4 linked regions of the Callithrix jacchus genome follow. The main gene of each other region encodes a partner of the protein of the gene in region 4 in a complex. Links are inferred from orthologs where the notes say so. Each region holds a gene or a part of one and is shown on either strand. Other genes may lie near its edges.

Region 1 (3,247 bases), about 46 Mb from region 4:
GCCCAGCTAATTTTTGTATTTTTAGTAGAGACGGGGTTTCACCATGTTGACCAGGATGGTCTCGATCTCTTGACCTCGTGATCCACCCGCCTCGGCCTCCCAAAGTGCTGGGATTACAGGCTTGAGCCACCGCGCCCAGCTAATTTTTTGTATTTTTAGTACACACGGGGTTTCACCGTGTTTCCCAGGCCAGTCTCTAACACCCGACCTCAAATGATCTGTCTGCCTCGCCCTCCCAAAGTGCTGGGATTACAGGTGTCAGCCACCGTGCCCAGCATCTAAAAAGATTAGATCAGCCGGGCGTGGTGCGCACATCTGCCGTCTCAGCTCCTCCAGAGGGTGAGGCAGGAGGATGGAGAGGACGGTGGCGTCACTCCAGCCTTCGCGACAGATCCTGGAAGGAAAAAAAAAAAAAAAAAAGGCTAAGAGCCACCAGGCTGGATAAAGTCCTTCCAATTTTCCACAAAACGAGCAGGGACGGGATGGGGAGGCCCCTTCCCCTTCAGAGGACAGGCCGCATCCGCTCTGCTTTTCCTGGATGCTTTATTACGTGTGATGGCAATGAGCCAGCTCACCACAGAGGGGGGTTTTCAACACGGTAGAAGACCCTTCCCCACCTCCCTCCACCACGACCACCGGGTTGGGGGAAGAAAAAGGCGGGGGACAGAAAGGAGTGCAGTCCGATGACGGCAGCCAAGGCCCCTCAGTAGGTCATCTGGTACACGGCGGCGTGCTCACTGAAGCCGGTGACAACGAGGCGGTTGTTGGACGAGATGTCACAGCACAGGATCGGGGACGTCTCGGGTACCTAAGGGGGAACCGTAGGCACTGAGCTGGGGAAGGGCTCACGCACCCCTGGTCTTTACCCGTCAGCTCTAGCATGAGGCATGGGCTCTTCCAAGAAGACAAGACAGGGTCTTGCTCCGTTGCCCAGGCTGGAGGGCAATGGTGGGATCTCAGCTCACTGCAACCTCCGCCTCCCGGGTTCAAGCGATTCTCCTGCCTCAGCCTCCCGCGTCGCTGGGACCACAGGTCTCCTCCACCCACGCCAGGCTGATTTTTTATATTTTAATAGAGACGGGGTTTCATCGTGTTGCTCAGGCTGGTCTTGAACTCATGGGCTCAGGCAATTCCGCCTGCCTCGGCCTCCCAAAGTGCTGGGATTACAGGCGTGAGCCACCCTGACCGGCCTTTTCTGAGTTTTTGTTGAGATGGGGTCTCACTGTGTTGGGCAGGCTGGTCTTGAAATCCTAACTGAAAGGGATCTTCCTGCCTCAGCCTCCCAAAGTGCTGGGATTATAGGTGTGAGCTGTCATGCCTGGGTAATTTTTTTTTTTTTTTTTTTGAGAGTCTGGCTCTGTCACCAGGCTGGAGTGCAGTGGCACAATCTTGGCTCACGGCAACCTCTGCCTCCTGGGTTCAAGCGATTCTTCCGCCTCAGCCTCCCAAGTAGCTGAGACCACAGGTGTGTACCACCACGCCTGGCTAATTTTTTTTGTATTTTTAGTAGACATGGGGTTTCACCATGTTGGCCAGGATAGTCTTGATCTCTTGACCTCATGATCTGCCTGCCTCAGCCTCCCAAACTGCTGGGATTATAGGGGTGAGCCACCGAGCCTGGCCTAATTTTTAATTTTTTCTTTGTACAGACAGGGTCTTGCTGTGTTGCCCAGGCTGGAAACATGGTTTTGGGGCCACCCCAAGGTCCCACCCCCAGCTCACCCCACAGTACCTGGAACACGTTTGTCCCCACTGGCATGCTGTGGATGCTGAGCAAGCCGTCCATCCCCACGCTCGCCCACCACTGGCCTGGGAGGAACAAGGGTGGTGGGAGCACCAGGTGGGGGAGGGGCAGGGCCCAGACACCCACCCCCTTCCCTCCCTTGTCCCCCTGGAGGAACAGCCCCAAAATTGGCTTCTGCTATGGAACAGCTGCTGTTTGATTGTTCGGGGGGTGGGGGATGAGGCATAGTTTTGGTCTTGTGGCCCTGGCTGGAGTGCAATGGCGTGATCTCGGCTCACTGCAACCTCCAGCTCCTGGGTTCAAGCGATTCCCCTGCCTCAGCCTCCCGAGTAGCTGCAGAGATACCAGGATACTGGCCTGGTGCAGTATTGGAATAGTGTTTTTTTTTTTTGGGCGGCGGGGGAAGACAGTTTTGTTCTTGTTGCCCAGGCTGGAGTGCAATGGTGTGATCTCAGCTCCTGAGTACCTGGGATTATAGGCACGTGCCTCCACACCTGGCTAATTTTTGTATTTTCAGTAGAGACGGGGTTTCTCCATGTTGGTCAGGCCGGTCTCGAACTCCTGACCTCAGGTGATCCGCCCGCCTCGGCCTCCCAAAGTGCTGGGATCACAGGTGCGAGCCACCACGCCCGGCCTCCAGAAAGGTTTTGAGGTACCCTAGAGGGTTGGGTGGGGAGCTGGCATTGGATGGGGTCCTGTGGGAGGCTGGGGGCTGCGGGGGAGACCCCCCTCCTTCCGCCGGCTACTTACCGAAGGGGGAGAACTTGACGCTCAGGATGATGCCGTCTCTCTGCCCCACCAGCTGCCGCCGGCTGTCACTGGTGCTCTGTAGCCACTGCTGGCCGTTGGCCATGCCCAGCAGCAGCCAGTCCTCTTGGGGACTGTGGGACAGGCTCATTATCTGGGCAATGAAAGGGCAGTGGGGAGGGAGGAAGCTGGTTAGGTCCCAGCCTGGCCCAAAAGGCAGGCAGGAGACTGGGGTCCTATCCTGGAGGCTGAGTGCCTGACCCCTTCCTAGCTGCCCAGCCCTGGCCCAAGTCATTTCGTGTCTGTGCCTCAGTTTGTTGGTCTGTAATATGAGCACAGTCTTCCCTACTTCTGCACCCAATATAGCATTTAAGCTTTTTTTTTTTTTAAGAAAACAGTCTCGCTCTGTCACCAGGCTGGAGCGCAGTGGCGTGATCTCGACTTACAGCAACCTCCACCTCCTCGGTTCAAGCGATTATCCTGCCTCAGTCTCCCCAGTAGCTGGGATTACAGGCGTGAGCCACTGCACCTGGCCAAGTGTTTCTTATTTAAACAGCAAATTTTTTTTGTTTTTTTTCTGAGATGGAGTCACGCTCAGTCATCCAGGCTGGAGTGCAGGGGCACGATCTCGGCTCAATGCACCCTCCACCTTCCCGTTTAAAGTGATTCTCCTGCCTCAGCCTCCTGAGTAGCTGGGACTACAGGTGCCGCCACCACACCCAGATAATGGTTTTGTTTTTAGTAGAGATGGGTTTC
Region 2 (3,424 bases), on a different chromosome or scaffold from region 4:
CTGGTGGGGGGGGGTTCCCTACTAGGGAAACTGAGGCGGGAGCATATCTTGAGCCCGGGAGATGGAGGCTGCGGTGAGCTATAATCACATAACTGCACTCTAGCCTGGGTGACCACAGAGTGACTCTGTCTCAAATTTAAAAATTGTGGCTTAGCTGGGCGTGGTGGCTCACGCCTGTAATCCCAGCACTTTGGGAGGCAGAGGCGGGCGGATCACCTGAGGTTGGGAGTTCAAGACCAGCATGACCAACATGGAGAAACCCTCTCTCTACTAAAAAAAAAATACAAAATTAGCCGAACGTGTGGTGCACGTCTGTAATCCCAGCTACTGGGGGCGGGGTCTTAAGGCATGAGAATCGCTTGAACCCAGGAGGCAGTGGTTGCAGTGAGCCGAGATCGTGGCATTTTACTCTAGCCTGGGCGACAAGAGTGAAACTCCATTTCAAAAAACAAACCAAACAAAGCAAAGAAACAAAAAATGGTGGCTCACGCCTGTAATCCCAGCACTTTGGGGGCTGAAGCAGGTGAATCACGAGGTCAAGAGTTCAAGACCAGCCTAGCCGACATGGTGAAACCCCGTCCCTACTAAAAATACAAAAATTAGCCGGGCGACATGGCTCGTGCCTCCAATCTTAGCTACTAGGGAGGCTGAGGCCGGAGAATCGCTTGAACCTGGGCGGCAGAGGTTGCAGTGAACCAAGACGGTGCCACTGCACTCCAGCCTGGGCGAGAGTGACACTCCGTCTCAAAAAATAAATAAAAATAAAAATAAAAATGGAAATATCAAAAAATTTCAAGGAATCTCCTCTGGTATCTAAACCACGGGAACTGTCTGTGGTTGGGTGGGTTCAAGGCTGCATTAATTAAAAGCGCGCCACAGTCCCACCACTGGGGATGATAAGGAGGGAGGATTTTTTAACTCCCCAGAGTTGAAAACCAGCAAGAAAGCCAGATCCCATAACTTTTTTCCTATCCATTTATTTTTTTTTTTACTATGCAAATCTCACTACACAGACCCTATAACTTAAAAAAAAACAAAAACAAAAAAAAAAAACCCTTATTCTGCCCTGTACTCAGCTGTCTCAGGCAGGTAACAGAATAATCTGAAAACCTGGTGCCAGAGGAAGTAAACATAGTGGCCAGGGATAAGAAGCTCTGGGAGACCTAAGAAGTATTCATTCTGCAAGTATCAGTTCCTTCTTCTGAGAAAAATACTGGGCTTATCCACGCCTTCCTGAGTCCATCTTTAAGACTCCCGCGGCTTTCCACTGGATTCCTGGAGCCCAGAGCCCGGTTTCTCCCACCGGGTGCGCTGAAGAAGGGCTGTTCCTGACAGAAGGAACCCTCTGAGAGCAGCCCAGAAACCAGCGCGCTTGTGCGGCCTCGGAAGAAGCCAGGGCCCTAGGAGACGGAGGCGACGCCTGGAGTCCAATGAGAAGGGAGCGGATGGAGAGGAGGGGCTGGCCAAAAGCCCTTAAAATAAGACCCAGCTGTAAGCGCAACTCTAGTCGCCTACCTCCAGCTCGTCCTTTGGGTTTGCGGTTGTGCTCTGGTCTCCTGCAGGGCGGGCGGCAGCATGGACACTCCCAGACGGTTTCCGACGCTCGTGCAACTGATGCAGCCAAAAGCAATGTCATTCGAGGTGCTCGGTCAGCTCCCCAAGCAGTTCTCCTGGTTCCACTCTGAGTTTCTGAAGAATCCGAAGGTAGTTCGCCTTGAGGTTTGGCTGGTGGAAAAGATCTTCGGTGAGTGGACTAGGGACGGGTAACCCTCATGCGGCTTCTTTCTGCACCCATACCTACACCCCACATGTTCTGGCCGCGTTCCAGGGCAAACCTCCCTAGTAGCCAATGTCCTCTGGCTGTCTCCTCCTTCCAACTTCCTCTCCCAAGGCCCCTGGGAGCTACCCGTCCCTCACATCCTCTCTGCTCTCGGCGCAGGCAGAGGCGGAGAGCGCATCCCGCAAGTCCAGGGTCTGTCCCAAATCCTGATTCACGTGAATCACTTGGACCCCAGCGGCGAGGCTGAGATCTTGATATTTGGGAGGCCTTCTTACCAGGAGGACACAATCAAGATGATCGTGAACTTGGCTGACTATCACCGCCAGCTCCAGGCGAAAGGTACGAGGTTGAGAAAAGGACTACTTTGAGCAAATCCTGTCTCCGTAGGAGTGATCCTGGGTTTTACTGGCTGCTGGGGCGGCAGTCTCGCCCTCCCAGTCGGCCCGCGGTTGGTGGGTGAGGGAGGGGGCGGTTCTGGTCGCCACGGATCGAGAAGGCCAAACTGAACTTGCGTTCTGGGATTCCTGGCTCCTACTCCCGTAGGCCACATGGGTGACTGTCCTTTTTTAGAGAGGATATAGGGATACAGCTGTGGCCTCTGCACACTGCTCTTCTTCCAGGCTCAGGAAAGGCCCTCGCCCAGGATATAGCCACTCAGAAGGCCGAAACCCAGCGGTCTTCAATAGAAGTCCGGGAAGCCGGGACACAGCGCTTGGTGGAGGTCCGGGAAGCCGGGACCCAGCGTTCGGTGGAGGTCCGGGAGGCCTGGACCCAGCGTTCGGTGGAGGTCCGGGAGGTCGGGACACAGGGTTCTCCGGTGGAGGTGCGGGAGGCCGGGACCCAGCAGTCCCTCAAGGCTGCCAGTGAGTCGGGGACCCAGCGATCTCCCGAAGCTGCCAGCAAGGCACGGACCCAGCGGTTTTACGTGGATGCCCGGGACCCAGTTACTAGATTATGAAGGCATTTCAGGCCCTGGAACCAGAGCCAGTCAGGGGTTAAGTGGAAGCCCGATACACTTAAGCCTCAGAAGGTGGGGTTGGGGGTGGGGGAATCATGATGTGAATTGTTTTGTTTTACCCCTTCTGTTGAATGGTTGCAAACACAAACTTGAGTTCTAATAAAGAATTGCATTTCCCTAACGTCTGTTTTTTGGAAGGTAGAGGGGAGGGAATGCCCATTCCTATATCAGCCCAATTCTGCCCTGCGCCGCTTTCCACCTCGAGGCAGGTGGGACCTCGGGTTCTTAGCCGCCCAAGGTCGCAATCTACCCCGGCTGCGCTTCGGTGTGTCCCTTGTGCTCCTTAACCGCGTTCATCTGGTTTACCCAGGTGAGAATCCTATCTAACCCACTAGGAAACCTCTCCAAGCCCGCTCTGGTTCTACTCAAGGTTAACTTGGGATGAGAAAACCGGGTCGCTTGGGGCTCAGCTGGATTTGGAATACCCTGTGTGTATTGCGATTCTGCCACAGACCACTTTCCCAGTTAGGGAAAATGACATCGGGGAAGGGGGAAACGGAGAGGGCCGAGCTGTGCCACTGTTGCCGTTGTCAGGTCTTGCTTGGGTCACCGACTTTGCACGAAGGTCGTGGACACCAAGATGCAGGCATCGGCTACTCTGGCCGCGAAGAGTCCCAGCAGAGAAC
Region 3 (3,072 bases), on a different chromosome or scaffold from region 4:
GCAAAGGTGCCCGGGATCCCTGCTCTTCCATGGGGATTGCAATGCTAGGGTTAATGAATGCTAACTGCCCAGGCTTGCTCGTTGGAATCACTTTTCTTAGAGTGGCCAACGAAGGCCTCACTCTAAGAAAAGGCACAGCCGGTGCTCCTCAGGGGGTCAACTACCAGCTTCAAAGTGAGAAATTCAGATGAGCTGCTTTGGGAGTACTTGTGAGCTCATCAGAAATGCAAATAATAAACCATACCCCAACAGTACCGAATCAGAATCTTCTGAAGAAGGAGCCTAGGAAATGATGTTTTAACAAACTCCCAAGGTGATTTATTACAAGCTTTAAAGTTTGAGAACCAATGACTAAAAACAAAACAGATCACCATTTGTGAGGCTATCTGCCCCCTGTGGCTGAGGGCCTGACTCTGACCATAAAATCATAAAAGGATTAGGAGTTTCAAGATGAGGGAATTCAGGAATAAACCCTACAAAACTACAACCTGCCAGCCTTCTACCTACCCTTCATATCAAAACATGAATGAGTCAATCTTTTATAAATTTGCTTTATTATAAGTGTATGAAGATCTTAATGTCACTGGGCAAAATAGCCATTTATTAGAATAGTTCAAATTCACTCTTGCAACAAAATAAACCACACTGAATCAAGACACAGGAAAAACAAATGCAGGGATTTAGGAATGCTATACTTGCTTCTCTTCAACTTTAGCAGCAGAAGTTGCAAAGTTCTCAAGATGCTACTGACACTATTGTCTTAAGCAACAGAATCCTGGGGAGTGTGGGGGTCTGATGCTTGGGCCTTCAAGTTCTTCTCAAGGTGTTTCATCTTCTCAGCTGGAAGAGAAAGAGTTGATACTAACCATGGACAGGGAGAAGTGTTCGCTGTTTCAAACTACTCAGTGATTGGGAGTTGGGGAGGAGAGGAGGATCTGCGATAGTGCTGTAGCCCAGCTGAGGCTGACTTGGGCAGTGATGGGCCTGAATCTATCAGATCTCCACTGACTTTCCCAAGGTCCTACCTCGGGGATCCCCTCCCAAAAAACTTCGTGCAACTTCCTGGGGTGCGGAAACCAAGAAATTAAGAGGTTAAGGGAGGATGGAAGGAAGCCGAGCAAGACCAGTATGGTCACTCGTGGCTTCCTCCATGTGTAATTTCTCAAAGACCCTCACCTCGGGCTCGATGTTCTCGGTGAAACCATGCCAGGCACAGGAGCATGCTCTTCACCCGATTCTGTACACGGGGCCGTCCAAAAACGGTGATTTCTACTAGGTTCCCAGAGTCCACTATGTCCACTGTCAACAGGGCCTGGCTAGTCCACTCCATTTCTGGAATTATGGCTCGGTCTGGGCCTAAACAAGTAAGGAAAGACTATTTAGGGGCCGCAGTCACAGGTTAGAAGCTGATTTGAAGAAAATGTTGACCAGGGAAGGGAACAGCTGGAAGGTGGGCACCACAGCAACACTCCTGGCTTGAGAATCTGGGAAAGAGGCTGTAGAGAGCTGCTCTGCCAAGCCTCTCTCAGACTGAGAGACTAAGAGTCTAGGTTGCTCACCAAAGAGCACGTCTGCCAGCCATGCCTCCAGGTAGAACACCAAAGGGTTTCTCAGTTCCTGCACCGGAAACCACCAGGGCCGGATGCGAATCTGTGGCAGCGGAAGTGGTAACCTACGCAGCTGCTCCAGGGAGTGGGCCGGGGTCTGTTTGCCCCAATGGGACTCAGCAGCACCAGCGTCATCGACCATACTGGGACCAGCAGCCGCGGAGTGCACGCGGGACGGCTTTCACGTGACCTCCTCCAGACTCAGCCGCGAGGCTCCGGCTCTCTTTTACAGTATTCGACCCGCTCCGCCCCTTCCGGCGGCGCCTGGCACCGCTTCCGGGTGAGCTGATGCAATCGACGCCTGGGCCTAGTGGCGCTTCGGGCACTTTCTGCGCTGCCACAATCGTCGGGACTGCCTTTTTGACCTAGAACTAGTATTCATTTGGGCTCCTGTTGGGTCTTCAACTGTCTCCTTCGACATCTCTGCCTCGTAAGGTATTTAGCCTAAAAGGCCTCTGCTCATCGTATAGCTGATTAAGTGTGAGTTTGAATCGACGACCGTGTTGACTGGGAATCACCTTTGCTGTCTAGGTTAAGGTTTCGACGTTGCCTTCTAAAGACAGGTAGATCAAACCCAGGCAGGTTTGTTGAATGTGTCAGTTTTCTCTCTTCTGCCCCCTTTTTATCTTCTGACTCTCTGGATGGTTACCATTTTGAAATTATTCCAGGAAGTGTGTCATGTTTTAAGCAAAAAATCAGAGGTGGGCTTATAGAACATGTAGCAAGTTACACAGTTTTCCTTTATTTCCACTCTCCTAGACAACCTAAGACAGCCAGTATTGATGCATATTTCTTCTCAATGTTTGTAATTTTAATTAAAAATTTGAATTATGAAAAGTTTCACACACCCAAGAGTCATATGACACAGCCATGTATCCTCTCCCAGTTTAACAGATGTTGACATTTCCCCACATTTGCTTCACTTCTCTGTTCTTTAAAATAGGTATTACTCAAGTATCTTTCCTTTCCCTCCCTAGAGGACATCATCCTGAACTAGTGTATTTCATCCCCATGCATGTCCTTACATATTTTCTACTGTATTTCTGGAAATAGTTTGGTAGTTGTTTCAGAATAGACAGTATCTGCCGAATATACTATTTTGTTCTTACAGTTAACTATGTGTTTGTTCTAAAAAATATTTTCTGGGGAACGGGAAAAAAAAAAATTCTTTTGTTCCAAGATAGGTCTCACTCTATTGCCTAGGCTGGAATGAAGTGGCACGATCTCAGTTTTCACTGCAGCCTGGACCTCTCAGGCCCAAGTGATCCTCCCACTTCAGCCTCCTGAATAGCTGAGACTGCAGGTGCCTGCTACCACACCCAACTATTTTCCATCTTTTTTTTTTTTTTTTTTTTTTGTAGAGTCAGGGTCCCACTATGTTGCCAGGCTGGTTTTGAACTCCTACCTAAGCAGTCCTCTTGCTTTGGCCTCCCAAAGGGCTGGGATTACAGGTGTGAGCCAGCAT
Region 4 (3,566 bases):
TTCCTACATTATTTGTCTTTTTAGCACTGGCTTATTCCACTTAGCATGCCAAGGTTCCGTCATGTAGCAGGTGTCAATTTTTTTTTTCTTTTTTTTTTTTGAGACGGAGTTTCGCTCTTGTTACCCAGGCTGGAGTGCAATGGCGCGACCTCGGCTCACCGCAACCTCCGCCTCCTGGGTTCAGGCAATTCTCCTGCCTCAGCCTCCTGAGTAGCTGGGATTACAGGCACGCGCCACCATGCCCAGCTAATTTTTTGTATTTTTAGTAGAGACGGGGTTTCACCGTTGTTGACCAGGATGGTCTCGATCTCTTGACCTCGTGATCCACCCGCCTCGGCCTCCCAAAGTGCTGGGATTACAGGCTTGAGCCGCCCCGCCCAGCCCAGAATTTTCTTTTTAAGGCTGAATTCCATCGCATTGTACATGCCACATTCTGTTTATCCTTTCATCCACAAACGCCTGGGTTACTCCCACCTCTTGGCTACTATTATGAATTATGCTGCTAGGAACATGAGTGTGAGATCTGAGATCTTGCTTTTGATTCTTGTGGGAATATTATACTCAGAAGTGACACTGCTGGATCATAGAGCAATTCCAGTTTTCTCAGCATAAACACTAATAATGCTCTCTCTGCACCCTTTCCAACCCACCCAGCAGTAAGCTCCATGGTATCAGGCACCTGGTCTCTATCTCCCACATCCCTGTGTCTCCGGCACCCAGCACAATACCCACAACATAGTGGGCACTCACCAATGGAGTAAAAATATGGCTGCCAAGCCATGACCTCCACGTTTCCCATAACCTACTTCTCCACCAGCTACGAAGCCTGGAACAGAAGCAGGTCTGTAGCTCAGAAGACAATCGCCAGGGACTTACCCAATGATTCGTAGATTAGACGTGGGACACGCGAAGGCTGAACACAGCTTCCTCATTCCTGCAGGACTGAAGTTATTCTGTGCCAGGTTTAGGCCGGCCAGGTGCCGGTTGCAGGAAAGGGCCAAGGACAGTTCCTCACAGCAACCAGAAGTCAATCCACATGATTTCAACCTGCAGCGTCGCCCAGAACACCCGGAAAATAACCCCAAAGATCAATGACGGCTCCTTCACTCAACCCCTGTGAATTTCACCTTGACACTTTCACTTGAGACAGAGTCTCGCTGTGTCACCCAGGCTGGAGTCTGACAGCGCAATCTCATCTCACGGTAACCTCCACCTTCCGGGTTCAAGCGATTCTCCTGCCTCAGCCTCCTGAGTAGCTGGGACTACAGGCACCTGCCATCACATGCCCAGCTAATTTTTCTATTTTTAGTAGAGATGGGGTTTCAACATGTTGGCCAGGATGGTCTCGAACTCCAGATCTCAAGTGATCTGCCCGCCTCGGCCTCCCAAAGTGCAGGGATGACAGGCCTGAGCCACCGTGCCCGGCCTCAGCACTCCCCTTTCTATGGCTGAACCACAGTCCCTCACGTGGGAACGCCGCCTTTACAAGCCCCCGGGAGATCCTGATGCTCACGTGAGTTCCGAGGGCCACTCGGGTCATCCATCCCTTGGTTCCTCCTCCTCTTTGTCTCTAGACCATTCACACAACACAAACGTCTTCCCGCTTCCGTACTCCCGCCACTTAGCGCCAGGACTAGACACAGGGGTCGCTCAATGGGCAGCTGAGGGTTTTCCACCCCCAGACCTTGCTCCCAAGCGTCTCATGCACCCTGTGACTTTCCGTGGCTGGCTTCTTTCACTCAGCGGGATGTTTTCATGGCTCACCCACATTGTGGCAGCTGTCAGCGCTGTACGAGCAATTTTTTTTTGAGATGGAGTTTCGCTCTTGTTGCCCAGGCTGGAGTGCAATGGCGCGATCTCCGCCTGGGTTCAAGTGATTCTCCTGCCTCAGCCTCCCGAGTAGCTGGGATTACAGGCACGCACCACCACGCCCGGCTAATTTTTGTATTTTTAGTAGAGACGGGGTTTCACCATGTTGACCAGGATGGTCTCGATCTCTTGACCTCGTGATCCACCCGCCTCGGCCTCCCAAAGTGCTGGGATTACAGGCTTGAGCCACCGCGCCCGGCCTTTTTTGTTTTTGTTTTTTTGAGACAGAGTGTCACTCTGTTACTCAGGCTGGAGTGCAGTGGTACAATCTTGGCTCACAGCAACCTCCACCTCCCGGGTTCAAGTGATTCTCCTGCCTCAGCCTCCAGAGTAGCTGAGGTTACAGGCAGCCACTCACACTGCGGGAGCCCAGCTGTAACTTATACCCAGAGCTGTGGTGCTACAAGGACTGCCATCCACCCACATCCTCATTCAGACAACCTCGCACTGGGGTACCCCACCTCCTCCCAGCCTGGCCCTCAGAGACACCCCAGGAAGTTACCCCAGTCTCCTTAGAACACATTTCCTTTGCTTCAGCCCCTCACACAGCGCAGTGACCCCGACGTCACCCACGGCATTGTCCGAGAGATCCAGGCTCCTCAGGTATCTGCTCCTCGCCATCACGTAGGACAGACTCTCACAGCACTCAGCAGTGAGACGGCAGCTGACCAGCCTGCAGAGGTGGGAGACAGAGTGAGACGGCTTCTCTCGGGGACAGTGGGGGACAGACAGAGCGAGTCAGCATCTCTCGGGGACCGTACACAGTGGGAGACAGAGCGAGTCAGCGTCTCTCGGGGACCATGGACAGTGGGAGACAGAGCGAGTCAGCGTCTCTCGGGGACCATGCACAGTGGGAGACAGAGCAGGTCAGCGTCTCTCGGGGACAGTGGGAGACAGAGCGGGTCAGCGTCTCGGGGACAGTGGGAGACAGAGCAGGTCAGCGTCTCTCGGGGACAGTGGGAGACAGAGCGAGTCAGCGTCTCTCGCGGACAGTGGGAGACAGTGAGTCAGCGTGTCTCGGGGACAGTGGGAGACAGTGAGTCAGCGTCTCTCGGGGACAGTGGGAGACAGTGAGTCAGCGTCTCTCGGGGACAGTGGGAGACAGAGCGAGTCAGCATCTCAGGGACACTGGGAGGCAGAGCGAGTCAGCATCTCAGGGACACTGGGAGGCAGAGCGAGTCAGCGTCTCTCGGGGACCGTGGACAGTGGGAGACAGAGCGAGTCAGCATCTCTCAGGGACAGTGGGAGACAGAGCGAGTCAGCGTCTCTAGGGGACCATGGACAGGAGGAGACAGAGTGAGTCAGCGTCTCTCGGGTACCATGGACAGTGGGAGACAGTGAGTCAGCATCTCTTGGGGACAGTGGGAGACAGAGCGAGTCAGCGTCTCTCAGGGACCATGGACAGTGGGAGATTGTTCAGCAGCACTGACCGAGGAATCTTTATTGCTTCCTGACGGGGGACTTTTCTGTCCGTTCCTGTCAAGGGCTTAGACTGTGTGGTATCTCCTGGCTCAAGAGAGCCGTGACAGAGGGCAGGGAAAGTGCCAGCTGTGATTGAAGGTACCTTTATTTTTTTGAGACAGTGTCTGGCTCTGTCACCCAGGCTGGAGTGCAGTGATGCGATCTCAGCTCACCACAACCTCCACCTCCCGGGTTCCAGCATTTCTCCTGCCTCAGCCTCCCGAGTAGCTGAGACT

The links.
Region 1: the proteins of NLRP5 (region 4) and TLE6 are in contact, whole or in part, in a cryo-EM structure (PDB 8H94), measured with the Mus musculus proteins. The link is inferred for Callithrix jacchus from reciprocal best matches to the Homo sapiens genes NLRP5 and TLE6. Residues at the interface, in NP_035990.1 of Mus musculus: Gln185, Phe188, His283, Arg307, Glu326, Lys327, Lys329, Ser330, Ser334, Pro335, Leu336, Met444, Ala447, Glu448, Trp451, Tyr465, Tyr507, Tyr508, Glu511, Glu515, Asn517, Phe520, Phe522, Leu540, Met543, Lys544, Leu547, Val571, Lys574, Leu575; in NP_444484.1 of Mus musculus: Pro147, Gln148, Pro149, Val150, Cys158, Gln159, Phe161, Leu162, Ile163, Gly165, Leu166, Trp167, Leu169, Phe170, Ser173, Arg174, Gln175, Lys176, Asn177, Ala247, Asp248, Lys249, Phe250, Lys252, Pro253, Ser255, Trp256, Leu261, Glu262, Cys265.
Region 2: NLRP5 (region 4) and KHDC3L share a complex: the UniProt entries of both Homo sapiens proteins name them as parts of the subcortical maternal complex. The link is inferred for Callithrix jacchus from reciprocal best matches to the Homo sapiens genes NLRP5 and KHDC3L.
Region 3: the proteins of NLRP5 (region 4) and OOEP are in contact, whole or in part, in a cryo-EM structure (PDB 8H93), measured with the Mus musculus proteins. The link is inferred for Callithrix jacchus from reciprocal best matches to the Homo sapiens genes NLRP5 and OOEP. Residues at the interface, in NP_035990.1 of Mus musculus: Glu173, Leu176, Leu195, His196, Gly202, Leu206, Asn322, Leu325, Glu326, Tyr337, Ile338, Leu339, Val340, Glu341, Gly342, Leu343, Ser344, Ala345, Ser346, His373, Asn625, Gln626, Asp652, Ser655, Glu661, Leu662, Cys663, Pro664; in NP_080756.1 of Mus musculus: Ser26, Leu27, Arg28, Leu29, Arg30, Thr31, Arg32, Ile38, Val41, Asn43, Tyr48, Met49, Leu75, Leu86, Glu88, Pro95, Thr99, Lys102.

Annotation. Positions count from the first base shown.
Region 1 is NC_133523.1:2,770,283-2,773,529, reverse strand, and holds the end of TLE6 (transducin-like enhancer protein 6), read right to left. Parts: intron 2,646-3,247; coding exon 2,495-2,645; intron 1,810-2,494; coding exon 1,733-1,809; intron 809-1,732; coding exon 704-808; 3' UTR 527-703; downstream 1-526. UniProt on the Homo sapiens protein: Component of the subcortical maternal complex (SCMC), a multiprotein complex that plays a key role in early embryonic development.
Region 2 is NC_133505.1:78,451,295-78,454,718, forward strand, and holds KHDC3L (KH domain-containing protein 3), read left to right. Parts: upstream 1-1,505; 5' UTR 1,506-1,575; coding exon 1,576-1,744; exon of another isoform or gene 1,745-1,939; coding exon 1,940-2,119; exon of another isoform or gene 2,120-2,157; intron 2,158-2,400; coding exon 2,401-2,738; 3' UTR 2,739-2,914; downstream 2,915-3,424. UniProt on the Homo sapiens protein: Component of the subcortical maternal complex (SCMC), a multiprotein complex that plays a key role in early embryonic development.
Region 3 is NC_133505.1:78,457,566-78,460,637, forward strand, and holds OOEP (oocyte-expressed protein homolog), read right to left. Parts: upstream 1,855-3,072; 5' UTR 1,750-1,854; coding exon 1,560-1,749; intron 1,357-1,559; coding exon 1,177-1,356; intron 841-1,176; coding exon 761-840; 3' UTR 538-760; downstream 1-537. UniProt on the Homo sapiens protein: Component of the subcortical maternal complex (SCMC), a multiprotein complex that plays a key role in early embryonic development.
Region 4 is NC_133523.1:48,863,520-48,867,085, reverse strand, and holds part of NLRP5 (NACHT, LRR and PYD domains-containing protein 5), read right to left. Parts: intron 2,543-3,566; coding exon 2,372-2,542; intron 1,048-2,371; coding exon 877-1,047; intron 1-876. UniProt on the Homo sapiens protein: Component of the subcortical maternal complex (SCMC), a multiprotein complex that plays a key role in early embryonic development.